Linked DNA regions of Ovis aries. The protein of the gene in region 6 purifies or fractionates together with the protein of the main gene of each other region. This does not show direct contact. Links are inferred from orthologs where the notes say so. Each region holds a gene or a part of one and is shown on either strand. Other genes may lie near its edges.

The links.
Region 1: the proteins of OTUD5 (region 6) and EEF2 purify together in Homo sapiens (affinity purification with mass spectrometry, with the first as the bait; 3 studies listed by BioGRID). This does not show direct contact. The link is inferred for Ovis aries from reciprocal best matches to the Homo sapiens genes OTUD5 and EEF2.
Region 2: the proteins of OTUD5 (region 6) and CDK4 purify together in Homo sapiens (affinity purification with mass spectrometry, with the first as the bait; 4 studies listed by BioGRID). This does not show direct contact. The link is inferred for Ovis aries from reciprocal best matches to the Homo sapiens genes OTUD5 and CDK4.
Region 3: the proteins of OTUD5 (region 6) and CTPS2 purify together in Homo sapiens (affinity purification with mass spectrometry; 3 studies listed by BioGRID and IntAct, with this or other methods). This does not show direct contact. The link is inferred for Ovis aries from reciprocal best matches to the Homo sapiens genes OTUD5 and CTPS2.
Region 4: the proteins of OTUD5 (region 6) and RUVBL1 purify together in Homo sapiens (affinity purification with mass spectrometry, with the first as the bait; 3 studies listed by BioGRID). This does not show direct contact. The link is inferred for Ovis aries from reciprocal best matches to the Homo sapiens genes OTUD5 and RUVBL1.
Region 5: the proteins of OTUD5 (region 6) and CNP purify together in Homo sapiens (affinity purification with mass spectrometry; 3 studies listed by BioGRID, with this or other methods). This does not show direct contact. The link is inferred for Ovis aries from reciprocal best matches to the Homo sapiens genes OTUD5 and CNP.
Region 7: the proteins of OTUD5 (region 6) and SLC7A11 purify together in Homo sapiens (affinity purification with western blotting; 3 studies listed by BioGRID, with this or other methods). This does not show direct contact. The link is inferred for Ovis aries from reciprocal best matches to the Homo sapiens genes OTUD5 and SLC7A11.

The regions. Positions count from the first base shown.
Region 1 is NC_056058.1:17,828,224-17,832,363, reverse strand, and holds the start of EEF2 (elongation factor 2), read right to left. Parts: upstream 2,801-4,140; 5' UTR 2,718-2,800; coding exon 2,715-2,717; intron 1,691-2,714; coding exon 1,476-1,690; intron 625-1,475; coding exon 443-624; intron 352-442; coding exon 140-351; intron 1-139. UniProt on the Homo sapiens protein: Catalyzes the GTP-dependent ribosomal translocation step during translation elongation.
Region 2 is NC_056056.1:161,900,495-161,904,475, reverse strand, and holds CDK4 (cyclin-dependent kinase 4), read right to left. Parts: upstream 2,649-3,981; coding exon 2,431-2,648; intron 2,265-2,430; coding exon 2,129-2,264; intron 2,014-2,128; coding exon 1,846-2,013; intron 1,694-1,845; coding exon 1,584-1,693; intron 1,334-1,583; coding exon 1,283-1,333; intron 1,138-1,282; coding exon 1,002-1,137; intron 594-1,001; coding exon 501-593; downstream 1-500.
Region 3 is NC_056080.1:14,927,440-14,930,939, forward strand, and holds part of CTPS2 (CTP synthase 2), read right to left. Parts: intron 148-3,500; coding exon 47-147; intron 1-46. UniProt on the Homo sapiens protein: Catalyzes the ATP-dependent amination of UTP to CTP with either L-glutamine or ammonia as the source of nitrogen. Constitutes the rate-limiting enzyme in the synthesis of cytosine nucleotides.
Region 4 is NC_056072.1:59,390,508-59,394,648, reverse strand, and holds the start of RUVBL1 (ruvB-like 1), read right to left. Parts: upstream 2,801-4,141; 5' UTR 2,727-2,800; coding exon 2,586-2,726; intron 1-2,585. UniProt on the Homo sapiens protein: Possesses single-stranded DNA-stimulated ATPase and ATP-dependent DNA helicase (3' to 5') activity; hexamerization is thought to be critical for ATP hydrolysis and adjacent subunits in the ring-like structure contribute to the ATPase activity.
Region 5 is NC_056064.1:41,862,419-41,866,421, reverse strand, and holds the start of CNP (2',3'-cyclic-nucleotide 3'-phosphodiesterase), read right to left. Parts: upstream 2,801-4,003; 5' UTR 2,712-2,800; coding exon 2,709-2,711; exon of another isoform or gene 2,577-2,708; intron 1,494-2,576; coding exon 824-1,493; intron 1-823. UniProt on the Homo sapiens protein: Catalyzes the formation of 2'-nucleotide products from 2',3'-cyclic substrates. May participate in RNA metabolism in the myelinating cell, CNP is the third most abundant protein in central nervous system myelin.
Region 6 is NC_056080.1:56,126,291-56,130,302, reverse strand, and holds the start of OTUD5 (OTU domain-containing protein 5), read right to left. Parts: upstream 2,801-4,012; 5' UTR 2,033-2,800; coding exon 1,439-2,032; intron 1-1,438. UniProt on the Homo sapiens protein: Deubiquitinating enzyme that functions as a negative regulator of the innate immune system. Has peptidase activity towards 'Lys-48'- and 'Lys-63'-linked polyubiquitin chains. Can also cleave 'Lys-11'-linked ubiquitin chains (in vitro).
Region 7 is NC_056070.1:19,545,137-19,548,636, reverse strand, and holds part of SLC7A11 (cystine/glutamate transporter), read right to left. Parts: intron 3,143-3,500; coding exon 2,993-3,142; intron 1,522-2,992; coding exon 1,344-1,521; intron 1-1,343. UniProt on the Homo sapiens protein: Heterodimer with SLC3A2, that functions as an antiporter by mediating the exchange of extracellular anionic L-cystine and intracellular L-glutamate across the cellular plasma membrane.

The DNA.
Region 1 (4,140 bases), on a different chromosome or scaffold from region 6:
AGGAAGTCACTGATTCAGAAGCAGTTCCCCAGGGGCAGCTCAAGACCACAGCCCTTCCAGTCTGCCCCACAGGAGCAGTGAAGGGACTACTATGAAGACAGAGAAAAGTACCCTAAACCCAGCAGTCAGGCTGTCCTACCATGATGTTGCCCATGGGTCCACTCTCGCCCTCGCCATAGGTGGAGATAATGACGTTGACATTCTCCACGATACGCTGGAAGGTTTGGTAGAGCTCCTCAGGCTCCAGTTGCAGCTCAAGCAGGGCCCGGTCCATCTTGTTCATCATCAGCACTGGCTTGATGCGCTCAGCAATGGCCTGGCGCAGCACCGTCTCTGTCTGCACACACACACCTGCAGAACAGCAGGGGATGAGGCGGCTCTTGCAGCCAGAGAAGGGACAGCACCAGGTTCCAAGCCGTCCTAGGGGGTGCCCACTGCTTACCAGACACACAGTCCACCACCACCAAGGCACCGTCAGTGACACGGAGTGCAGCTGTCACCTCTGAGGAAAAGTCGACGTGCCCAGGGGAATCAATGAGGTTGATGAGGAAGCCAGAGCCATCCTTGCTCTGCTTGATGAAATTCAAGTCGTTCTCTGAAAGCTCGTAGAAAAGGGAGATGGCCCTGAAACAATGGGGACAGGTGAGCCAGGTGGAAGCCACACCTTAGCCTGGCCTGTGGTCAATCAGGTTCCCACCGAGGGGGAGTCAGGACGGACACTCTTCATTCCTAAATGAGGCTGGGATCCAATAAAAAGCCAGGCAGATGCTGCAACCTGTCCCCTCTCCCTGCATTACTCATCCCTAAAGATGAACTTAAGACTCCCAACAGAAAAGCCACCGCCATCTGGGACATTTATCTTTGCTGCACCCTCTGCCAGGGACAGCCACTTCCCTGGCACCAGAGTCCACCTAGGTCGTCCCAGGCTTGACACACCTGTTGTAAAAAAGCAGCTACTGCATAGGAGCTAGAAAGCCCAAAGGCTCCTTTCCACCCTTCCCTGCCCTGCAGGGAAGTGAGTCTCAGAGCAACGACCAAGGACAAACGACTAAATGAAGACAACTGCCATCATTGCTTTTTCTTTGGGGTGGAGGGAGGTTCTCACCATGACATCTGGGACCAGAAAACTCACAGGAGGCTGGCGTGCGCAGAGCAAGACTTTGGCATTGACCCCAGATGCCAATACCATCCTCAGACTTCTCCAGATATTGCCAAGAGCCCCCAGCTCCCTTCCCCTCCAACCTCCTTAACTCTACCACCCGTCACTGTGCCTCTTCCCCTGGAGACAAAGGTGCCCATCCCACTAGATGAAGCTCCATCATCCCTCCCAGTTCAGAAGCCCAGCTCCAAAGTGCTCCTCTCCCCAAAACCCTGTGAGAAAAGGCCTATGTCTATCCAGCCCGCCCACTACCAAGGACTCAGAGCAAGCAGCACCCCGCTTTCCCTGTGGAGACGACACCAGGGGACTTGCTCACGTTGACTTGATGGTGATGCAACGCTCCTGCTCGTCCTTCCGGGTGTCAGTGAAGCGGGTCTCCCCAGCCCGGGCAGAGGCGATGATACCCGCCTTACACACCAGGGAGTCTGTCAGAGTGGACTTGCCATGGTCCACGTGGGCGATGACAGACATGTTCCGGATGTTGGCCTTCTTGTCCATGATGGCCCGGATCTGGTCTACTGTGAAGTTCACCTGGGCAGGGTGGAGGAGGGGAGGGTCATGACAGGCCAGCACTCCAGGAAGGACCCTTGGCACAGAGACTTTGATCAATAGAGGCTGCAAGGCCCTAGCCAAAAGAGGCTGGTCCCTGGTGCTGCCAACTCCGACCTAAATCCCCCTTTGTTAACACCCCTTTAAAGATGTCCAACTCACCCTGTCCCTGAAAAGCCTAATCTTGGCTGTCACACCCAAAGTGACAACTCAGAACGGAAACTGGGGACTAAGTCCCAATGAGTGACAACAGATTCCCTTTATACTAGTAGATACTGGAGTCTCATGGGGTCTGGCTGAACCTCAAGTGTCCCACTGTGCGGCCACTGGTATACCGCGAGGCTTCCCAACCAAAAGGGGTCTCCGAACTCCAAGGTCACCCCTCGCTGGGGTTGTGGGGGTCAGAGCCAACACCCCACCTTTGATTCGTAAATATGCCACCCCCGGTTTGGGGGAGGGGGGGTTGCGCAGCCCTAACAGGCGCGAACCTCCACCTCGTGGCTCCAGGATCAGGTGTTCACAATTGGGAGGTTCAAGAAAGACAAGAGACCAAAATAACATTACACAGCGGGAGAAGATCGGGCGCTTCTAAAGGTCTTACTCTTCTCTCCTTTAGCCATTTCCAAGACGCCCACGGCTCCCGACAAAAAATCAGACTGAAACTCCCGGCCCGCGGGTTACATAAGGCGGCTCCCCTCTCCCGGCTCGCGCTGCGGCGCCCGCCATTACAGCGTCTGCCACATCATCATACCCCCCGCCCCGCCTCCGCCCCAGCTTTAGCCGGACCCCGGACCCCGCGAGGCGGCGGCGCCCCCGGAAGCGGAGGTCGCGAGCAGTGCGGCGCGCAGACATGGCGGCAGCCGCTTCACCTGCTCCGGCCCCGCCGGCCCCGCCGCCGCCATGTCTCCTCCCAGTCAGGGAGGCCACAAGACCCCAGGCTTGGCAGCGCCAGCCCTGCCGAAGCTTCGCTGCCGTTTCAGGTCCCCGGTTGAACAGCGTTGCTCACCATGGTGGCGGATGGCGGTGGATTCTCCCAAGCAGATCCGAGCGAGCTAGGTCGCGCCGAGGATGGCGGCGACGACGGCGGAAGAGAACGCTGACGTCAACACCCGAGACTTTATAGGCCGACGCCGGTTGGGCGGGTCATCTGACCGCGCTTCGGGGGCGGAGCGAAGCGACGCGGCGCGCAAGCGCATGAACACCCTCCCCAACAGCACCCCGCCCGGGTAACCCCTTAGGCGGCGGCGGGGCTGCTCTAATACCAAGGGTCTGCATTCCATGCTTGGATTTTCCCGGGGGCGTGGTTGCCTCGAGCTGGGTGCACGCCTCCAGGATGCACTACTTAGATGCAGAAAGCAGAGTGGCATTTTAGCTGCGACTATTAACCATATGTTAGGAACTATGTCATTTTGCAAAGTGCCAAGCACTTCAGTGAAAAGGATATTACGATGTGAACAGGGTCTGTGGATTGTACTAAGATTAAGGTTTGATATGGTGTAAGATGATTGACAGTACTAGGTCCGGGACTGGGAGAAGAGTACTTGGACCTCTGGACTAGTTCTGCAGTCACCCGTCTTTAATTATTTCTTAAAACAAAAAAACTTTTCAAAAGCAGATATTAATCACCCACTTTTCCCACAACGACAAATTCACCGTCTACTGCGGCAGGCATTGCTATAGGTTTTGTGGATAAAACAGTAAATAAAACACCTTATCAGCTCCATCACTTTAAGTGTTCTTACATTAGATATGCAGGTTTTTCTATGCTTCAGTTTCTTTATCTGCGCAACGGGATGATCAATACTACTTCTTTGTTTGAGGGAGAGTAAAATTCACTAAATACATTTAGAGGAATTAGCACCGAGTCTGACACAGTTCTCAATACTCCTCAGATATTTCTAATTAGTTATCGTTACCATTATAGAACACATTTTAGGGACTGGCTTGCTGCGTCGCAAGCGTGGGAGCTAAGCGCTTTTCCACATGCGCAATCTCATTTCCTACTTCATTTTCTCTCCAGGGGGAGGCGCAGGAACACTATTTTGTATTCGTGTCCTGATCTGACCCTAAGAAACCGTTGTATATCGGATCTTCTACTCCAGGGAAAGAACTGGCATGTAATTCAGGTTCTTTATTCTTTATAAAGAGCCCAGCTCAATGCCTGGTACACAGTAGGCGCTCATAAGTATATCTTGCATCAGGTAATCATATTCTCATTAGTGTAAATAAATCCCCTTCAATAAATCTTCCCCTAAATTCACGCTGTCAAAAGAAGGGAGCCTGCAGTGATTTCCCTGCGCTGGAAGGAGAAGAAACAGTTGTGCCTCTGTAAAAAGCTATGCAAGTTCGGATAGACTCTAAAATAAGACTGTCTTCTCCTATCCCTACAAAGGGCTTTACGCATTTTGCTTTGTAAAGCGCGGTCACAGCCC
Region 2 (3,981 bases), on a different chromosome or scaffold from region 6:
AAAATAAAAACCATTTAAACTCTATAATCAAAGAAGCCATGTAAATGCCTTTCCTTCCCTTGTTAGTAGAGGGGCTCCACTGACCCTGTGATCTAAAGAGAATCTGCAAGGAAATTCCATCTTCCAAATGGTTTTTTCCAAATTCCCAAACAGTAAAGCCAATCAGAGGAAGAAATATTAAAAAAAAAAAAAGACCATATTTGTTTTGTTTGTCCTGTATAAAAAAGGATCCCAATATAAAGGTATAAAGAAGGGGAGAACAAGGGACATATCTCTTGGTGTAAGGACACAGGATAAGGATAAGCCTCAAAAAGAAGGGTGGGAGGGGAATATTGTTAAGGCAGTAAAATATTGTCTGTAAAAAGTTGGAGGAGTCGTCTCCACAGCTTCAGAGGTGAAGGCAGAGGTTGCCTTCTCAGTGGTGGGGCTCTCCACTCAAGTGTTCAAAAGAAGGGAAATTTGTGTCTCTCGCCTTGGTTCTGTTCCAGCCATTCTGTTGCTCACTCTGCGTCACCTTCTGCCTTGTGTAGATAAGAGTGCTGCAGGGCTCGGAAGGCAGAGATTCGCTTGTGTGGGTTAAAAGTCAGCATCTCCTGAGAAGAGACGCAAATGTCAGAAAACATGGAAGAAACAAAAGGGACTCCTGCTTAACCCTAACAATACCTAGAATGGGTGATTTTTTTCTATCCCTCTTGTGGCCAGCCGTTCAAAACAGTAATAAAAACCAACCTGTTCATTATCAAGTCTCAGTAACAACAATGCATTTGGGTCCCTTTTATCCTGCTCCATTTCCCCCCACTGATGGCTCAAGTGGTAAAATAAACTGCCTGCAATGCAGGAGACCTAGATTCAATCCCTGGGATGACCCGCTGGAGAAGGAAATGGCAACCCACTCCAGTGGGCTACAGTCCATGGGGTTGTAAAGAGTCTGACAGGACTGAGTGACAAACACGTGATTTCCCCCTGTAGTCTCGCCCTGTGCCCATGCCTGAGTCTATTACCAGCAGCAGCTGTGCTCCGGATTCCTCCAGCTCAGGGACCACTGACTGCACTGGGCGGGGCCCTCTGGGGGAAAAGGCTCCTCGGGGTAGAGAGACATCTCGGGGCCAGTCATCCTCCGGGGGCAGTCCGATCAGGCTATGGGGAACAAGAGAATTCTGGTCAGGAGGGCCTTTTTCCAGCCCCCATCTCCAGGGGCAGAGCCAGCTGCTGTCAAGGACTCAGCAGAATGCAAAGTCAAGGACTCGGAATGCAAAGTTCTTCCCCCTTGCAGGTCACTTACTCAAAGATTTTGCCTAACTGGTCAGCTTCAGAGTTTCCACAGAAGAGAGGCCTAAGGTGAAAAGAGACAGTCATTCCAGTAGCAGTTTTACAAAGACAGGGTGGTAGATACTGTTTAGTGGCTCAAAACATAGGGTGTGGAGAATAAAGGGCTATGAAATTCCTAATTCCAGAACATTTCAGAGTTTCCGGCTATGGACAAGGTGGCCAATAGTAAGTGGAAGAGCAGGCAGGGTATAGGCGTGGCTTATGAATAAAAAACTTGGGAAATTCAAAATGTTTGGGATACTTGGGCCCCATACTTTCGACGAAACATCTCTGCAAAGATACAGCCAACACTCCACATGTCCACGGGTGTTGCATACGTAGACTGCAAAAGAACTTCTGGAGCACGATACCAGAGTGTAACAACCTGATGGGAATAAGTAATGCGGATGAGAGTCCTGCAAGTTACTGCAAAGCACATGGAAAAACACGCTCCTTCTCAACTGTTATGGGCAATCACTCTTCTCCCCCAGCCAGACCCCACTCTGGCCCCATCCTGGCCACCATCATTCTACTGACCACAGGTGTAAGTGCCATCTGGTAGCTGTAGATTCTGGCCAGGCCAAAGTCAGCCAGCTTGACTGTCCCACCACTTGTCACCAGAATGTTCTCTGGCTTCAGGTCTCGGTGAACGATGCAGTTGGCATGAAGGAAATCCAGGCCTCTTAGAAACTGGCGCATCAGATCCTGGTTTGGAAGGGGGAAGTACAGAGAAACTGGGAATCAGGTGCCACACCTGAAATTACAACAAACTACCACAAAGGTCTCAAGCTATCTCTCAGTGTCTGCCCGCCCTACTTACCTTTATGGTCTCCACTGGCAAGCCTGGTGGGGGTGCCTTGTCCAGATACGTCCTGAGGTCTTGGTCCACATGCTCAAACACCAGGGTCACTTTGGTCTCCCGGTCAGTTCGGGCTGTTGCACAGACGTCCATGAGCCTGGCCAGAACAAATGGTCACTCATTGAGCAATGGTCTTGGACCCAACATGGCCTCCCCTATTTCCTCAGGGTTCCCACTCCTCTTCTGACCACCACTCCACATCTACAGGTTAGGCTGTCTTTTTCCTTTCACGACCCATTCCCACCCTTCCATCTTCTTCTCACCTGACAACATTGGGATGCTCAAAAGCCTCCAGACGCCGCAGTAAGGCCACCTCCCGAACGGTGCTGATGGGCAGGCCCCCTCCAGCACCTCCTCCGTTGGGGACTCTCACACTCTTGAGGGCCACAAAGTGGCCACTGTGAGGATCACGGGCCTTGTACACTGTCCCATAGGCACCGACACCAATCTCAGCCACTGGCTCGTATCGAGAGGTAGCCATTCTCAGACCAGAGGAGGCCCTACAATCACAGAGGCTCAATGAGCCTGCAGCAACAAAGTGACTCCCACAAAAGACATCACGAAGACAACACCAACAGCATTCCCAAGCTTCCCTGAAGGCAGCCCCCTAGGTAACACAATAACTCTAACCCCAAACCCTCCAGCCACGTGAGGCCCTATAACTTTTTCAAAGATGCATTTTCCTTGGGGACCATCAAGCCCCACACAAGGGAAATCCCATAAGACACACCCCCTACATCAAAGACCCGACACCCAGTTCCTGAAATTACACCTCCCTTCGGCCACAAAGGAACATTATCACATCCTGCCCCACTTCCCGCCCTCGAGCAACCCTTCCATAACCAGCCCGCGTAGGAAGCAGTGGACGGCGAGAATGGTCCCCATTCCTGAAAAGGGCTACACTCACCTCGCCCCGTGTCAGGAGCTGCGGGGTCGGCCCGTTATCCGGACCCCGGAGCCGGTTCCTGCAGCGCCATACACTCGAGGTCTGTCCTGGGCAGCTGGACGCTATGGGCCCGACCATAGACACAGGCCGCAGGCTAGAGCGGCCCCCTTTACCCCCACCCTCACCATGTGACCAGCTGCCAAAGAGGCGCGCGGAAATTGGAGGGGCGGGGCCAACGCCGGACGTTCGGACCACGTGACCGGACTACTCATGCGCGGAGGGGCAGCCAGAAAGCGGCTTTGAACGAGAAAGGGGCGAGGAGGGGAAAGAGGCGGAGAGAGATGGCAACCACATGATCTGTTGCTATCACACGTGACCGCTTGACATTGCTTGGAGGAGCAGAGGTGTGGTTACGCTGAAGGGCACGTGACTGGCTGCCTTAACTCTGGCTGGGCGTTGGGGCGGGAGAAGAGAGAGGGTGGAGTCCAATGCGATGCCATGGCAACCTGGGCCACCCAGGATTCCCAACTCCGGGCTGCAAGCCGAGCCTGAGTCTCACTACCTGTCTCTCACTCTCTCTAAGCGGGGAGATGGGTCGAGGGACGGGAGGTGCTGCTGTCGTCTTTCTGCTCCATCGCTAGCAGAAAACATGTTCTCATTTGTGTCTTTGTTTCATTCATTCATTCAGCAAATGTTTACTGAGTCCTTGCTTCCTGTGTGTCTGTGGGGTTTCTTTTTTTTGTTAATTTTTTTTCGACAAGTGTCGCAGACACTTGACCTTTATCTATAAAGATACAGTCACATAGTTTATATGTGGTCATATAAAATAGGGAGTAGACGGTGCCCAGTTCAGTTCAGTTGCTCAGTCGTGTCTGACTCTTTGCGACCCCATGGACTACAGCACGCCAGGCTTCCCTGTCCATCACCA
Region 3 (3,500 bases), about 41 Mb from region 6:
ACTAATAAGGATACAAACTTATATAGAAATAAAGTTCCATGCTTGCCTCAATAACGCATATTTGGGGCTCTTCCTTATGACCATCCACGGGCACCATGGCTTGATTCATAACCCACTCCTGGACAGCATCAGTAATGTGAGGGACAACTGCAGAAAGAGGTAATAATTAGCACAAAAGAGTATTTCAGTGTCACGGTTATGAGAAATGAATGTATTAGTGTCTGTTGACCTCCCAAATAACCTGAAAACCACCTGGCAAATGAGACAAGCTCCAGGCCTAGTGTTACTATCCATGTCACTGAAATTAATATCACTGACCCAACAGAGATTTAGTCATTTAAATGCTATGCCATCTCTCTTGAAACCCACCAACCCCAGAGAAACACAGAGCAGAAGTGCCATCTTTGAAGCAACTAGAAAACACCTAAAATGCCAACTAAAAACTATGCGAGGAGGGCCGCTACGGGTGCTGAATGCCGAATTCCCAGCGGAAGAAGGACGCAGAGTGGCCCAGCCCTGCAAACCCTGGGCAGCCCACCAGCCAGTGGGGAGCAGTCACTGAGAGGATGTAGAGGAGGCCTGCAGGCTGACCAGAGGCCCGCAGCAGCTACTCTCAGCTGAGGAGGCTAAAAGGTGGCATCTCCACGAGCACGAAGCCCTGGGCTACCTAAGTGCTGAGCAAGCCTGCAGCTGCTGGTCTCAGCCAAAGAAACCAAAAAAAGTGTTTTTGTTTCTAATTAACCTAATACGACGTAAGAAGGAGAAATGGTGGCCTCTGGGAAGCTGACGCGGAGAAGCGCCTGTCAAGTCAGTCACCTGCCCCACCAGCCCTTGGGGCTCCCAGGCACCCCTCCCCTCACTCGAGGTGGGAGGAAGTTGTCTCTGATTGGTGCATTTGGAACGACCCATTGCAGCATGCCCAGCCCAACACCTTTCTGTGAGGACTGGGTAAGTCAGCTCTCCCTCCACGTGGGCAGCACAGGCACTCAGACTGCAGGTCCATGTTTGGGATCTTGCCCTTTCCCTAATTTGGAGAGGTGACTGGTATGAGGCAGCAAACTCTCCCTCCCGCAGGTTTTCCCAGTAGAGGAAAACTATTAGAAAGCACAACTGCATCAATAGTTGAGATCTAAGCCACACCATCAAGTGTCAGCAGTAACACAGCTGATCTTTTGAGCTCCATCTGTCCAATTTCTTTATCTACTTCCCACCTGCTTTTCAACTTGAAGGTGATTTAAACGGGGTGGGAAACTAGCATCTTTACCCTACCATGCAGTTCAGTTCAGTTCAGTCTAGTCGCTCAGTCATTTCCGACTCTGCGACCCTGAGGACTGCAGCAGGCCAGGCTTCCCTGTCTATCACCAACTCCTGGAACTTGCTCAAACTCATGTCCATCCACTCAGTGATGCCATCCAACCATCTCATCCTCTGTCATCCCCTTCTCTTCCTGTCTTCAGTCTTTCCCAGGATCAGGGTCTTTTCCAATGAGTCAGTTCTTCGCATCAGGTGGCCGAAGTATTGGAGTTTCAGCTTCAACATCAGTCCTTCCAATGAATATTCAGGACTGATTTCCTTAAAGATTGACTGGTTGGATCTCTTTGCTGTCCAAGGGACTCTCAAGAGTCTTCTCCAACACCACAGTTCAAAAGCATCAATTCTTTGGTGCTCAGCTTTCTTTATGGTCCAACTCTCACATCCATACATGACTACTGGAAAAACCACAGCTTTGAATAGATGGACCTTTGACGACAAAATAACGTCTCTGCTTTCTAATATGCTGTCTAGGTTGGTCATAGCTTTTCGTCCAAGGAGCAAGCGCGTCTTTTAATTTTATGGCTGCAGTCACCATCTGCAGTGATTTTGGAGCCCAAGAAAATAAAGTCTGTCACTGTTTCCCCATCTATTTGCCATGAAGTGATGGGACTGGATGCCATAATCTTAGTTTTCTGAATGTGGAGTTTTAAGTTAGCTTTTTCACTCTCCTCCTTCACTTTCATCAAGAGGCTCTTTAGTTCTTCTTCGCTTTCTGCCATAAGGGTGGTGTCATCTGCCTATCTCAGGTTATTGATATTTCTCCTGGCAATCTTGATTCTAGCTTGTGCTTCCTCCAGCCCAGCATTTCACATGATGTACTCTGCATATAAGAAGCAGGGTGACAATATACAGCCTTGACATACTCCTTTCCCAATTTGGAACCAGTCTGTTGGTTCATGCCTGGTTCTAACTGTTGCTTCTTAACCTGCATATAGATTTCTCAGGAGGCAGGTAAGGTGGTCTGATATTCCCATCTCTTGAAGAATTTTCCACAGTTTGCTGTGATCCACACAGTCAAAGGCTTTGATGTAGTCAATAAAGCAAAAGTAGATGTTTTTCTGGAACTCTTGCTTTTTTGATGATTCAGCGGATGTTGGCAATTTGCTCTCTGGTTCCTCTGCCTTTTCTAAATCCAGCTTGAACATCTGGAAGTTCACGGTTCACACACTGCTGAAGCCTGGCTTGAAGAATTTTGAGCATTACTTTGCTAGCCTGTTCCCTACCACATAGGAACTTATGAATACAAGGGGCAAGGGTTACAGACGACAAAAGAGAATAATCAGAATTGTTAGGTAGGAAGTTAGGCATGAACAAGAGGGGTGGTCTAGGTGAAAAGGATGCAAGCTGATGTCTAAACACCAACCCAGACACACCCAGGAGAGCTCACAATATGCTACAGAAATAATCACAGTGGCTTCTCCAACTCCAGCACATGCGCCCTTGATGCACAGCTGTGTCCTCAAGTAACCGTAGCCAGCTTTAAGGGTTCATAAATATTCTATACATACATACATCTGATTATAACAGACTGAATTATGGGAAGGAGATGCACAATACAGCCTGTTATTATGTAACTCGCAACTGTCAATCAGCCTTGTGTGTATGCCAATTTGCATTCCCTTTCCTGATTGGTGGTAGGTACAAGCCCTATTTTGCATAGGGCAGAACCAAGAGGAGGAGACAGGGAATATAAAAAGGGAAGCCAAGTGGGAGTTGTTACCACCCCTTTGCTGTTGGTCTGCTCCCATATCTTGGGAGTGTCTGCTTAATAAAAGAACTGTGTGCTTCCACTAGAATCAATCTGATATTTTGTAGAAGTAAAGCAACCTGACAGAAACATGTGACCAGTGGAAAAGGTTGGTGAAAAAAGTCATCATGTTGCCCTCCTGTTCAATCCCATGTTCCTTCCCACTGCTATTCTTCACAAGGAAGTAATCATCATCAATGCAAAGATTTAAGAAAAAAGTAGAAAAAGAACATATTAAGGACAGACAAAAATTGACTCAGATCTACACCCAATCAGATATGTGATGAAGATTCCCTATGGATTTCATAAATAAAAGCTAGAGAGAGAAAGATAAAGAGGGCAGAAAAGGGGGCTAAAGGAAACAATGACTTAGTAACAAAGAAAAGACTGATGAAAATATAATCAGGAACATGGAGGATAAACTTGAAGTTTGCTTGGT
Region 4 (4,141 bases), on a different chromosome or scaffold from region 6:
TAGATTCTCAAATTAACCCACCAAGTACTAAGAGTCAATGACACACTCTACTAGTTGGCCATCAGTCAACTATCCCAGGAGGCTGCAAGCAAGCGCTACATGTGATGTTTAATCTATGGCATCATAAGACCCAAGAACTGCCTTTCAAATCCTAAAGATTAAATTAGTTGTTAGCGTACTGTAAACATTCTGAGTATTAAGCCATTCTGTACAGCATATACACTGTGTGTGTATTTATATGTATAATCACATACATCCATATGTGTAGTTGACCCACGAACCCTTGAAGCTGGGATGCGCAATCTCCACGCAGTCAAAAATCAGCACATAACTCTACAGCCAGCCCTGCACATCCGTGACGGCAGCCAAGGGTCCTAACACTTATACACTGAAAGAGACCTGCATGCGGTGGGCTCATGCAGTTCAAACCCATGCTGTTCAAGGGCCCACTGTATACTGACACACATATGAATGTCCATCACAGAAAGTCTATAAACGGGTTGCTGATTGTATGCGTTTTAGAGCATTTCTGGAGCAAGGCTGAGAAAGTCACACTCCCTGAACTCCTGTATCTTGAGACTACACAAGATCCCTTACACGATTCAAAGCGCGCCTCTCTCCGAGGTGCATTCCATTTGTCTCAAGGCAGGTCACAGGTTTTCTCCCTGGACAGCACCTTGCTGACAACGTCTTGTGAACACCTGCTCTTCTCTCTCTTTTCCCCACGGACTGTGGAGACGTATCTTGCTCTCACACTTAGACAGCCCCTCAAAACACAGGTTCACGGAAACCACGTGGACGTGCTCCACCCCATTTCTGGCTCAGCTGGGAGAGCACGGCACACTTTCACAGCCCAGAAGAGATTCTTCAGAGGTCGCATTTTCAGAAAGAAAAAGGAGCCACTGAGGTCCTTCCACAGTGACCTCTGACATCATTCATAACCCTCAGCACTGGAGCTCTGGGCGATTCAAAGAGGAGGAAGACTTTTCAAGCCTTGTCTGTGTGCTCTTATTCACACACCCCCTCTTCCCGTTAATATGCTTCCATTTAGGTTCCTTCTCTCCAGTGAGCTTCTTCCAGTGAATTCCAAGATTTAAAAAGCATGAACTGGAAGGGCCTTTAGAGAGCTGTAACTCTCATTTTTCAGGTGAGCCTATTAAACACCAAGGAGGCTGGTGATGTGACCAGACCCAAACAAGGACCTGGCGGCAGCGGTGGGATGACTAATAAGTCAGCACATAAATTCTGAGTCCCTATCATAACCCAGGTTCTGGATATTTACCACCACCCGGTCTCTATCCTTGGGAAGCTCATATTCAGATGGAGGCACATAGCAGCTGAGTTAACAGCGTGGATTCTGGAGTCAGGCTGCCTTGCCTAGCTCTGCCAAGCACCAGCTGAGTAATCTGAGACCCATAACCTGATCTCTGTGAAACACAGTTTTCTCGTCCAAAAACAGAATTCGTAACACCGAGGCCCGAATGCTATCGGATTTACGGTGAAGTATACTAATGTCTGCGACTGAGCGTGACATGCAAAGGCAGCCTGCTGGAGGGCTAAATGGACAGACAGAAGACAAGCAACGGCGTGAAGTGTCGCTTGTAGAACCTGGGCACACAGGTACACAGCTCTTTCAGTTTTGCCGTACGTCAGAAGAGTGCCATAAAAAAGCAGAGAGGGGCAGTCTAAGGATGGAGGGGACGATAGGACGATGGAAACGGGGCTGCTTAGCACGTGGAGAGGACGCAGCGACTCTGCAGTGATAGCCTCTCAGACAGCTGAGGCTGGATAAAGAGAAGCTAGTCACCTTAATCCTGCCACAGTTTCCCCTCTGCAAGCATGGTGTCCAGAATGGAGGCTTCTCTTTGGCCCTTTCTTAGCACAGTTAGGCTAGAGGGCAAGAGTCTTGGCCTGGACTGAGAGCTGCTGAGCCACAGCAGAGGTCCTGGCAACGGGCTGAGGGGGACTGCTACACAGACAGCACTGTCTCAGGAGTCAGAAACACAGGCACAAACTCCAGTGTTACTAAACTGAGTCGCCAGGGGGCTGGGTGGACAGGTCTCTCACCCTGAATTTTTTCATCTACAAAAAAAGCAACAATTAAAAAAAAGAAAAAAAAAGAGCCTGAATAGTTCTGTGATAATAATGCAGCAGAAAGGACCGGGCACCGCCATCCCTCGGTAGATATGGGCTTTAAGTGGAATGGTCAAAAAGGACTCGGTACCCGTCACCTGCCGAGCCTGGCCACTTGCCGGCTTTAAAATCCCAGGGCCTCGCAATGCGCTCTCAGAAAGCCCCCCAGAGCCCGTCCCCAAAGTCTAACACTCCCGTTGGGCGGTTTAAACGTTGTGTCCGAAACGCGCGGTCCGGGAGAGCAGGGTTCCGCGCCGCCCCGCCGCCCGCCGCAGCCCCGGCCCCGCCGCAGCCCCGGCCCCGCCGCAGCCCCGGCCCCGCCGCAGCCCCGGCCCCGCCGCAGCCCCGGCCCCGCCGCCCCGCCAGGCCCGCCCCGCCGCAGCCCCGGCCCCGCCGCCCCGCCAGGCCCGCCCCGCCGCCCCGCCAGGCCCGCCCCGCCGCCCGCGCCACACCTCACGCGCGTTCTCCTGGCCCACGAGGCCCGAGGCCGCCTGCTTGGCCAGGCCGCTCTCGTCCAGCCCCAGCCCCTTCACATGGCTGTGGGAGGCGATGCGCTGAGTCTTCGTGGTGCTCTTCACCTCCTCGATCTTCATCCTGACAACCGCAGCCCCCGAGCCCGCACAGCCCAGGCAGCGCGCACCCCGTCACCACGAGGCCGTTACCAGGCGGTTGGTCCCGCCTAGGTCGGCGTCCCATTGGCCGCGGCGGGAACGCCTCCGCGCTCCATTGGCTCCTGGCTGCGCCCGTCGCGGCTGCCGGTAGGGCCCGCCCACCAGCTTCCGGCGGTGTCCCACGGTTGGCTTCCCCCGCGGGGGGCGCTTCCTTCCTGGGTAGGGACTAGCCGGGCGGCGCTGCGGCTCACTAGGGGCGCGCGTCCCGCTCTTCACCGGGCCTTCCGGCCGTGAGCGCGTTCGAACCGATACCGCTCTGCGGAGCTCAAGTTCGACCTCGGTGTCGGAGACGAACAGACAGGTTTAGAACTCAAGCTTCGACCTGCGCCGGCTGAGCAGCTTTCTGACAGCCACTCCTGCCGCCGTCTTCGGGGAGGCCGTGCTCAGCGTCCTCAGGGGCCTGTCCTCTGCGTCCCCTCGCCTCCGCCTCTCGCTTTACTCGTTTAGGGTAATTCCTAGTCCGGATGAAGATGCGGGCGCAAAGAGGCCCCGCAAGTCACCCAAGAGCGCGCAGCAAGTAATCAGCAGTTGGAATTTCTGCTGAGGGCTTAAGGCGCGGCAGCCTGTGGGACCCTCATCCCAGCCCTCGGATTGGACGGTCATCCCGCGGCTGCGTCCTGTCCGTTCCATGAAAATGTCAGCGCTGCCTGGAACAGTGTGCTCTTCCCATCCACCCATCCGTTCAATAAACGTTGGTTTGCACCTGCTCTGAGCCGGACACTCCACGATGCAGGCTTAAATACAAAGTCTGCAGCCTTAACAAGCTTAGTCCTTAGTTGGGAAGCTTGCGATGGTGAGGTGTGCAAGCCCCAAGCAGGCCACCTGGAACAGCTGGAGAGCCTAGGAAGGCACCAGAAGGTGATATGGTAATGCCCACACGGAACCCTGATGGCAGGCTAACGTTCTTAGGAGAAGATGGTGCTTTGCCATGTCGCAGGTAAGTGGACTCAGGTCCAGAGAAACGAGGGACTTGCCCAGAGCTCAGGGGGGCCTTTCTGGATCGGGGCTGAGACAGGCCTGAAGCCACATCGTGCTGCAGTGGTTGCTGACTCTCGTCTCTCCTTGCGCTTCTCCGTCATCACTTCTGAGTCTAGGTTTCCAGTTACTTGCATGACTGTCCGGTCAGAGTCAGCCTCTCCCACTAAACTGCAGGCGCTGTGAAAGCGCAGACCTCGTCGCTGCTGTCCGTCATTTTAGCGTCAGTGTCTGGCTCATAGCTAAGGCTTCTGCCCGGTTCTGGAACCCCGCCCCCCCCCCCCCCCCCCCCCCCCGTTCCCACGGAGTCAGGCAGTTTTGCTGCGTGTATTTTACACACTGGATCTTAACCGGACTTGGTA
Region 5 (4,003 bases), on a different chromosome or scaffold from region 6:
GATATTTCAAGTCTAAAATTGATGGGTGGGGGGCAACTAGGAATGTGTTAAAAGAAGAGATGATTAGTGGGTGGGTGACATGTCCCCCACAGGTCACTGGAGGAGAAGAGCCACTAGGGGGCCCTTCCCTATCCCAAATCTCTCTTCTCTGTGGAGCAAACAGCAGGAGGGCACTCTGGTCCGACCCAGTAAGGGAAGGCTCCTCTAGAGGCGATAGAGTCTAGGGCTCTCAAGATAGCTTTGGGCAAATCCCACATCCGTTCTGTGCATTTCCCATCTGCAAAAATGAGGTTGGACTCTAGCAGACTGTTCTCTGGAGCTGTGCAATACCACAGGAGGTGCACTGGCTAACTCAGGGCCTGGGAACCGTCCCCGCTGGTGTTTACAATAGTTCTAGTAGTAAGTTTTCTGCAGCTTAGGACTCCATGGCATATTGTATTTTAGAAAACGGTTCTGCAGCTAAAAATGAATTTGAAAACATTGGACCAGACTCTCCCTCCAGGGTTCTATGAAATGTTGATGTACTTCCTATTATGACAGTATGCAATTTGCTCTCCCCACCTCTAAGACAGGGTCGGTGGTCTAGCTCCAGGCTGGGAGAGGGCAGCTGGGGAGACGGTGAGAGGGAAAGTCCCTGGTGAACATCTCTCCCACGTCCCATTGCGTGTGCACCGCCCCAGGAGACCTCTGCCAGCGCCAGGTGAGCCCCGCTGCATCCCCCAAGAGCTTGGAGAACAATGGTCCCAGCCACGCAGCACCCTATGCCCAGCTAGCAAGGGGGCTCATAAGGTTGAGTGCCCCACCCACCCACCCCGCCACCTACAGTGTCGCAGCTCCTTCTTGAAGGCCTTGTGGTTGCCCAGCTCCTCCAGGAACGTCTGGCCAGTTTTGCGGAGGGCCTCGGAACTCTTCTTGGTCAGGAACCAGCCGAAGTAGAGCGGCAGGAAGTCCTTCTCCAGCCCAGGCTTCAGCTTCTTCAGATCGTCTGCTGACAGCTGCCACTGGTTCTTCTCCTTGAGCTGGGCACAGTCCAGCCGCCAGGCCGTCTTGGGCTCCACCAGCACCACCTGGTACTGGTACTGGTCGGCCAGCTCAAAGAGCTGCTCCAGCCGCTCCCGCTCATGGTTGGTATCATCCAGCACCAGGACCCGGACATCCCGGCGGCAGTAGGCAGCCAGGTCCTCGTCCAGCCGCTTGTACTCCTCGGAGAAGGCCCCCCGGGCGCCGGGGGTGATCTTGTAGCTGTCGGCAGACACCATCTTGGTGCCATCCCGGTACCTGTCCACGATGAACCGGGCCAGCGTGGACTTGCCGCTCCCAGGCAGGCCTCGCAGGATGAAGAGCGTCTTGCACTCCTGCAGCGTGGCCACCGTCTCCTCATCCTGCAGGAAGGGAAACTGCAGCTCTGGCTTGTCCTTGGCCCCTGAGGATGACATTTTGCGGAAGAAGACCTTGGGCAGGAACGTCTGGCTCTTTCGGGAGAAGCCTCTACTCTGTGTGAGGAGGGGAAGACAGGCGTCAGCCAGGTCACGCAGGGCCGCCCCGCCAGCCTCGCCTCTTCTTCTCAGGCCTGGCCCTATCCAGGAATCCCCCCACTCCAGGCACCCCAACCCTTGATTGACAGGCACCCCCGGGGCCGTGGGCGCCTTCCCAAGCCGTGAGGTTCTAGATGGTCTCTCCTCCGTCCTTGGGACCTGAGGGCTTCTGGCTGTGCAGTATGCAGAGGGCTGTCTGGGCAGTCCCAAACTCTTAAGGAGAATCGTGGCCTCAAGGATCACCCACTGCGGCCACCTTGAAAGGAAAACTGGTGGGAAGTGCCTGCAGGGGAGGGCCTGAAGCCTGCGATTCTAGAAGTGAAGCCTAACTTATATTCCTGGCCTCTATTAAGGATGACCTCTTTGGAGGTGGAGGGCTCTATGTCTGGGTAAAACCACAGCTGCCCTGGCCCCTGAGGGCATCGAGGAGGGTGGGGGTGGAGAAGGGTCACCCAAAGACCGCCTCCCTTCCCCCAACAATGCCAGTAACAGATAATACTCTCTTGTCTGGGATTGGGGGACAATGGTCCCACAGAAGGACTGGTGGGGGGCTGGGCCAGAGAGCGCTAGACAAAGGGCTTCATTCAGCACAGCCTGCCACCTCCTCCTCTGCCCTGGGCCCCCCACAAAGTCGTGGTCTTTGTGCCTGCCTCAGGACTGGGCGGTACAGGGCACCTGCGTCGGAGTCTAGGTCTTCGCACCCCTTGCTGTGTGTCAGCAGCACCTCTCTGAGCCACTTGGGTTCCTGCTTGCGCAAGCCACAGGCGGCAACACTTTTTACTGTAAAGCGCCTTTTCCTCTAAGCCGCGAGGCCCCACCTCTCGCCAGCACCCAGACAGCTCAGCAGGCGCACATTATCTCAGACGAGGCCCTGGGCAGGGAGGAGGTGCCGAATGCCCGCCCAGCGGCCCAGTGCTCGCTACCCCGACCCACCCGCCACCCGGGTGTGCTCCGAGGGAGCTGCTTCTGAGGCTCGATTCGCTACTTCCCTTCTTTCTCCAGCGCCAACCCCTCTCCCCATGCTCCCCGCGGCGCCCCTACCTCAGCCAAGAAAGCCCCGACTCAACTCCGGAACCTCGAGTCCTCATTTGCATGCCACTTCCTCCCCCCCGCCCCTAAGTCCCCCAATACTCTCGTTTTGCATTAGGGTCCCGGCCCAGCCCTCCCGCTCACCATGATGAGAAGGGGTCGCCGCCGTCGCCGCCTTCGCAGCACTAGCTCTCCGGGGCCGCCCGCCTGCGCGGAGGGACACGGAGTCTAGCGGTGGCACGAAGCCACGCGGAGCCGCCTTACATAGCCCGGGGCGGAGCGGGGGCGGGCCGGGGGCGGAGCGGGGGCGGGCCGGGGGCGGAGCGGGGACGGGCCGGGGCGGGGCGGGGGCGGGCCGGGGCGGGGCGGGGGCGGGCTGGGCCGACCCCCTCTGCGCAGGCCCTGCGAATCGAAACTCCACGCTCACTCAGCCCTGGGAGGAAGCTGCGGAGCGCTGCGCCCCGCCCGCTGCGGGCGCGCCAGCCCTGGGCCAGCACCTGTTTGGAGGCGCCTGTGCAGGGGCAGGGTATGGGGGCTGGGGAGCGGGGGTTTGGCCTCTTTTTCTTGCACCCCGGTAATGATGCACTCGGTAAAGAGGCAAGCAGGCACCCCCCTCCCTGGCCCAGTGTAGAGATTAGATTTGAGGCAAGATTGTGCAAGTGCGAAGGCGAATCCTGTCTTTCTTTAAAATTTTGATATTTTACTCATCATCAGGCTGTTGGTTTAAAAAATATTCACAACCTGAAAGCTGAGAGTTGTTTTATTCCGCGGGAATTTTTAGGATTTCAAGCCAGGGAGATAGCATCTCAAGTAACGCTGAGAAAACTGCTCTGAGCAGGCGAGAGTAGGAGCTGCATTATATAGAAGTTTTCCAACAAAGGGCAGGTAATCTGAACGTGGAAAAGATTATTGTTAAAGAAAACCAGGTATCCCAAGTTAAGGAATTTAGAACTTTTCTATGTATGGGAACATGCAAGAGTGTGGACTCACTGAAATCATTCCTTTAATAGGCACCTCAGCTGTTTGGAGCCTGTGTCCTGCGTTTTTCACATCCTGAATTTCCTTTCCTCAGGGCCCAACCGTAGGGAGTGCTTTGGTTTCTGCTAGATTGCAGGTAGTCCCCTTTCTGTGCGCCCTTGGGGCTCACCAGCTCACCTTCCATGGTGGCTGCAATCGCTGCTGGCTGTGACATCCTTGTTTACTGATGTGGCAGGAAATATTCAGTTTCTCAGAGTTCTGCAATTTTTTTTTTTTTTGCGATATTGCGTTAAAATACTGTTTCTCTTGCTTACTGAGTTTTTTGACCCTATGTTCCTTAAAAGTTGCAGCTGAAATGCCTCACTTGCCTCCCCCTAGTCTGGCAGGCCCAAAGTCAGCCTCTGCCCCAATCAAGCCCAACCCTTCCAGGAACTGTGGAGCTGGAACTAGGATGGCAATGG
Region 6 (4,012 bases):
TGGGCTTAGGCTCAAGTCCCCAAGGCAGGAAATTTTATGACCGCAAAAGGCCTCTTAAGACTAGGGTACACATATGCTGTTTTAAGTGAGGGGACAGTTCTTTCAGGGTAGGTTCAGTTAATCAGGTCCTAAGGTGGGGGAGGTGTCTCTCATGAACCCGAGGCAAAGTCAAACTCATGATGGGAGATGCAGAACCCTATTCCAGAGGGACTCTATCCATGCCCCAAGGGAAAGGTCTCAGGGCTCAATTCTGGTCCTGGGAGACCTCCTGCTCCCAAGGAGTGCCTTAAGTTCCTTGAGGGGGAAGCGTGGACCTCATCTCTAGAGACATGCCAGTTAGTGAGGTATGTATGCATCTCTTATCCTTGAGGGAAAGCGCAAGAATCCTTGGCACAGTGGGTCTCAGATGCCCAAAGAGAATACTCAGACCAGTCCCTGAGTAGTAAAGTCCCCTAGAGACCTTTGAGGAGGATATCAATTTCCTGAAGAGGGCTTCAGACCTAAAAGCCCAGTCTATAAGCAGGGGGAATCCTAGGCTCCAGTATACAAAACAGTGAGTCTCATTTTCTTGAAGAAAGGTTTAAGCTTGGGGGAGGCGTGTCCAGCCCTTAAAAAAAGCTTAAGCTCCTAGAGAAAGATTCAGACTCTTGTCTCCAAGGAGGTCTCAGATCCCTTAGAGAAAGCACAGACCCCTGTCACTTAGAAAGGGATGAATCTCATGTACCCTAGTAGAGTTTTTGGTCCCAGGGTGTTGGTTTTGATCCTAGTACTCAAGTGGAAAGAGATCATAGGAGAATATGTATGTGTGTGTGTGTGTGTGTGTGTGTGTGTGTGTGTGAGGTCCCTGACTTCTAGAAAAGGGAGTCTCAGACTCCACTGCTGCATGGTCCTGTGCTGTATCCCCCTGAGGAGGAGAAAGGGTTGTCCTATATAGTGTCTCAGACCCCTGAAAAGGATTTAGGTATCCTGGGGACACTCGTATCTCTGAGGTAGCCACCTTACTTGTATTCCCAGGAGGAGGAATCTTAAGAATCTCATTCCAGGGGAAAAGAAATTTCAAGTCACCAAACACAAACCAAGGTCCTTTGGAGAGTCACGAGACTCTCCTTGCCTGTCTCTCCTGGGGAGTGCCTACCTACTGGCCCTACACGATGAGGCCCCAGGGCCCACAATCAACTATGGGTCCTAGAAGAGACCACAGACTCCATCTTTAAATCCTCCATCTTATCTGGGGCCGCTAATCCCAAATCCCTGGGGGGGGGGGGGGGGGCGGGGTGGGAGAGTATATCGCAACCCCATCACCAGGGAAGAGTGCCAGACTCAAGAGAAAAGACATAGGCCCCTTGGAGCAGGCTCAAACAGCCTTCCTTGGGTTCCTAGCCAGTCTAGGGATCCCGTCCACCACACTCACTCACCTCCCCCATCCCAATGCCCATACCTGCTCGACGGTGGCGGGGTCCATGGCCTCTATACGCGCTGCAGCCGCTTCATATTCATCCTCACTGTTGTAACCTGCGCCGACCTCCTCACGCTCAGGACTGCCCCCGCCAACCGCACCAACCCCGGGGGCCTGACGCCGCCGCTTGCTGTGACCCGGCCCTGAGCAGCAGCCGCCCACACCCACGGCACCGCCCACGCCCACCACCACACCCGCCGCGCCCACGCCCGTCGCTGCTGTACCCAACGCATCACCAGGACCGCCGCCGGGACCTCCGGGGCCCCCGCAAGGAGGTGGAGAGGCCTGCTGTGGCCGAGGACCCGCCACGGCGCCAGGCGGCACGGCCAGCGCCCAGCGGTGAAGCGCACCCGGTGGCCCTGGAAGAGGGCCTTGAGGCGGTGGCGAAGCCCGGGGACGGGCCCCCACGACGCCCGAGTCACGGTCGCGGTCGCCGCCGCCCACACCCGTGCCGCCGCCGCCCACGCCTACACCCCCGCCGCGGCGAGGCGCCGGGGGCAGCGGTCCGGGCGGCGGCGGCTCGTTGGCGGGGTCGCCGTCGGGAGGCGGCGGCTTCTTTTTGGGGAGAATAGTCATGGCGGCACCGCCGAGTAGCCCCCAGCAAACCCGCCGCGGGGGACGCTGGGAGAGGACCCGGATGGGGTGGGGGGGGCTACAGTGGTGCGCGAAGGACGACGGGATCGCCGGGACCCGGATAAAGAGCTCGCTGCACCGGTTCTCGAACCGTCGGCGGAACGCGGGTCACGCGGCAGGAGAACCCGGATGTGAAGTCCAAGATTAAGGCACCGCGGCGAGCTTGTCGTAGCCTCTCCAAGTCCAACAACTTTATTGCTACGCTCGTTCCGGCCTACGGCTTCAAAGGAAACAGAACCAAAACAAGCACCTCTTCGCCCCGCCCCCTCGCAGGTTCTTGAACTACCGGGTGGGGCCTGGAACGTTGCGCAGGCGCGCCGGGGCACAGCCCCGCCTCTTGTTCGGAAGTACGTGGGCAAAATCTTCGCCGCCGCCACAACAATTGCGAGCACCAACCAATCGAAGCGGTTGCGTGGGTGTTCGATGATGACCACGGGCCAATCAGAAGCGGACGTCGCCCTCCCCTGCCCTCCGTCTCAGATTTCAGTCAAAGTCGGCACCCTTGTTCCTTGCCTTTCCCTTCACTGGTTCCGTCCGGCTCTTCTTTCCCCGAGGCTCTGGCTCGCAGGCGCGGGCACTGCGACAGAATAGCGTGGCTTGCCCACGCACAAGTTTAAAGTCGCCTCCCTTCCAGGCTTTTAAGTTGGCCGAAGTCAGCCGGACTGACTGCAAAAATATCAACACTCCCAGAGCTTAGCTAGCCCTTGAAGCGTCAATTCCGGTTCCACCCACCTACAAATTCACATCCGGTGGAGAGGCGGGCGCCGCCTCACCCTGGCAACAGGCCGAGTTCCGCGGTGATTGGTTAAGAGATGCCACCACTCAAGTCGGACGGGCCAACCTTGGGACAGACATGCATCGTGGGGACAAGTGGGTGTTTGGGAAGCAAACACGCCCTCTCTGGCATCCGCGTACACTCGCCCTCGCGTTGACCTCCCCGCCTCCGTGGCTAGCGCGCAGGCGCGGCACATAATTTTTTTTCTTTTTTTTCCCCCTCCTCTGAAACTGTTTACCTGAATCGAGCAATGTTTATAAACCAGCTCGGTCACCAGCCAGCGTCTTTACTGCAGGAATTTTACCTGCTACTGAACGAATGGAGAACTACAAGCTAATCCTAGCTGTGCCTCTTCAATCTGGGTGATCTCTGACAAGTCATTTAATACCCACCCCATCCTTAATTTCTACTTCTCTGTAAATGGCAATGATAATCCCAATTTAAGATAAAAGGTTAATCCTTGCAAAGGGTTTGGTGCAATGCCTGGCACATCACTAATTAGTCTGTACTGTGGTGCAATGGAAAGGACCCCAACCTTTTGAGTCAGGAAGACCTCAGTTCCAGGCACATGTGGACCATTACCACTGTATGACCTTGAGGAAGTCAGTGTCTCAAATTTGAGGTTGCTGCTGCTGCTGCTGCTGCTGCTAAGTCGCTTTAGTCATGTCCAACTCTGTGCGACCCCATAGACAGCAGCCCACCAGGCTCCCCCGTCCATGGGACTCTCCAGGCAAGAACACTGGAGTGGGTTGTCATTTCCTTCTCCAATGCATGAAAGTGAAAAGTGAAAGTGAAGTCGCTCACCCATGTGTAAAACAGGAATGATAACGCCTTCCCAGACTACCTCTAGTTATGGGGGTGAGTTGAGCTCATGAACGAAGAAAGTGTTGTGAGATGCGAGGGCTCCTTGCCAGTGTTAGGAGCCAAGCCATATAATAGGCCATCATATAACTCTCTTCAGTGCCACCTAACCTTCTCCCTTCAGATGCCAACCCTAGTTAAAGGTCTTCCCTGAAAGGTGTCAGTAATAAAGACTATAATAGTATTTTCTGCTTATGAGACTAAATTGGAGGAGAAGACTCACGTTTACTGAGCTTCTTGTGTTTAGGGCACTGTGCCAAATGCCTATGCAAATTATCACACTGAAT
Region 7 (3,500 bases), on a different chromosome or scaffold from region 6:
GACTCTGTAACAACCTAGAGGGGTGGGGAGAGATGGGGGAGGTTCAAGAGGAAGAGGGCATGTTTGTACCTAACGTACAACATGACTGATTCCTGTCGATCTATGGCAGAAACCAGTACAATATTGGAAAGCAATTATCCTTCAGTCAAAGAGAAATACATTTTTTAAAAAGTGCTACATCTTCCTGCATTCTGGCTGTCCCATCTGGGTATAGAAATCAACAAATTCACACGTGGCTCTTGTGGAGGAATGAAAGAGACGGTGATGTAAGAGAGAGTCTCCTAGCCCCTGACGGAGGGACAGGCTTTTGATGGCTTTTGGCAGAGGCTATTCCTAAGTACTCTTCCTACCTACTGATTTCCTATATTTTCTCCTCCCTCAACACACCTGCTCACCAAGCTCTGCTGATTTTTCATCTTTAATATCTTTCATTTTCCTTTGGACCCTGCCAACATCACCTGTGTTCAGACTTTTCTCAGTTCTGTCAGGATTACTGTGATAACCACTAATCACTATTCTTGAGAATGTCTTCAGCCTCATGCTCTCTGTTCCATTCTCTTTGTCCCTCTCATCAGGATGACTTTTGGAAAGTGCAAATCTGCCCAAGTGGGAATTCTAGGTCTCCTACTTAATATCTTCATGACTTGGAACTGGTTGTATGGATTCTTCCATATCATAACTCAAAATCTATAAAATACAGATAATTTTTTTCTAGCTCAGAAAGTTGATATAAGGATTAAATATGGTTATATATATGATTATGGATTAAATATGGTTATATATCTGTATGTTAACACATAGAAATTACTCAGTAATTGTCAACTGCTCTTCTTTTCTTGATTATTCTTACTGTTCCTATGATTCTCCATGATTCACCAGTTGGGCAATATTATAATAAAAGAAATCATGATACTTGAGAACTTTTCAGACTCTACATGACCTCCCACCAAATCTCACACCACTCATTAATTAGTGTGTTATCATATAGAATCAATAAAGTGCATTCAGCCCAGGATAAAAACAATTAGGTAAGTGAAGGATTCAGTAGAAAAATTAGGTTGTTTATAGTACTGCTTATAAAAATTCTATACAAAAATTTGTTCTTCTAAGAAGTGATTAAAGAAAATCAAACTAAATACCCTCAAAGGATTCAGTGACTCTACCCTAAAAATCCTTCCGGCCTTTTCTTCTTCAAGTTCTCATTAGAATGCAGTAATATATTCAAATTAGCAGTTTCCTAAGTGGTATTTTCAGACTTTAAGGTATGTATCATATACGTATGCAGAGATGGACTTTCTACAACACAGTCTCTCAAAGGTCCTAAAACTGCTTAAAAATCTTACCCGACATTCTTCTGAACCACTTGGGTTTCTTGTCCCATATAATAAAGAGATAGTACGCAGGAATCCCAGTCAGAGTGATGATGAAGCCGATCCCTGTACTAAATGGATCTGAATAAAGGGAAAGGGCCACCATGAAGAGACACGTGAAGGAAAACAAAGCTGGGATGAACAGCGGCACCTGGAACATAGCAAAAAAGAAAACCACTTCAAGCATGGCTTAGGAGACAGAAGGTAGATCCGAGTTGAGCACTGCAGTCATGAGATCAGGTGATACACTTTGATCACGTGACCAGGTGACAGGCACCATCCCACTTACCTTCCTACGAAAATCTCTTGAGTAGGGCACAGAGCAGATACTGATTTGAAAACACTCCTTTAAATTAAAAATAAATCTTTGGGTAGAACAAAATCTAAGGATAAATAAGTGTGTTTCATTAGAGACATTCTGTTTGAATTATTTTACTAGTTAAGTACCATTATGATTTATGTTTCTGATTGTAAAAGATTGCTTCTTTGATAATTATGATTAGAATCCACTTTAATGTAGAGCCAAGAGCACAGGCTGCTTGTTACATGTTAAAGCCTTTCAGTGCATATTGATTTTCTGTTGGAGATTCACAATATGAACTGACAGGGATAAAATAGGCCAACTCCTATTCAACCACTAATAAAGATGTCGCTAGCATTAGGTAATGAATATAATTAGAAAAAAAATGCTGACAACATGATGGACAACATTATCTGTGTTATTTCTTAAAAGCAAATACATAGTGAGTTCAAATCAAACCATGAACATTCAAGGCTGAAGGAGATGAGAAGCATATTCGTCAGCCTTCCCAAAAGGAAATGCATCGTTATGGTAAATGGATGTTCTATTAAGTGGTAAATTCAGACATCTTCACTTTCTTAAGTATTTTACATCTCTATTACTTCTGGAGTGCATGATGCAGAAAAGGGCCAATGTAACAAGTCATAACATTCAAGAATACTCAAAATGCCTTTTTTGAAAAGCAGCATCCTTTTTAGAGGCTTCCCTAGTAATGCTAGTGATAAATAATTGGCCTGCCAATGCAGGAGATGCAAGAGAAATAGTTTTGATCCCTGGTTTTTGAAGACCCTCTGGAGAAGGAAATGGTATCCCACTCCAGTATTCTTGCCTGGAAAATCCCATGGACAGAGGAGCCTGGCAGGCTACAGTCCATGGGATCACAAAGAGTCAGACATGATTTAGTTCTTAAATAACAATAATTCCTTTTTAGAGTATTAATTAGTGATGATTTCATATGTATCTGCCTCACTCTTTCTCAGCATGATTGTCCACAACTATTCAGCATAAAAGAGTAGTCTATACTTTGAATGTATCAGATCATTAGGCACATTAATGAAAAATCAGTGTAACGACCATTTAATATTAATACTCCTTTTCAAAAGTGCGACATACAAAGCTCTGTACATCACAAACAAGCTAATCAACCATTTTTTCCAAACTAAAATAAATCCCATATGAAGGCATTACCTGCAAGAGTTAAACGTTTTATTTTAGAGGATTCTGCCCTCTGCCCAAGCTTCTCATCATCAAGTTATGACAAAGAGAGGACCAGATATTAGGAGGAAGATTTATGTAAACCCATGAAGATTGCTGAGGTTACCTTGAAAGGACGATGCATATCTGGGCGTTTGTATCGAAGATAAATCAGCCCAGCAACTGCCAGCCCAATAAAAAGCCACCTGGCAAAACTGAGGAAATTCAGAAGACTGTAGAGGTCTCCAGAGAAGAGCATTATCATTGTCAAAGGGTGCTGGGGGAAGGAAGAAAAAAATCACACTCAGTGAGTTAAAAGGGAACAAACATGATAATAAGCAATGACATCACTATACAATATTATTGTATTTTCCAAATGACTATTTTCACAGGTTAACTAGGATCGTGATTAAAATCTATACTCAACTACCCTCCTAGCTATATCTTACTCTTTACTCCTACATACACACATACATGGATGTGTTATTTTTTGTTGTTTTTCATTAAGAGAATGTGTTTTCCAAGAGTAAAACACAGGACACTCAATAACTCAAAATTTAAAGATCCAGAGGGCAGAGATGGTTAATAACTAACAATGAAAATTAAAAGTGTATCCAATACAAAAATTTACAGAA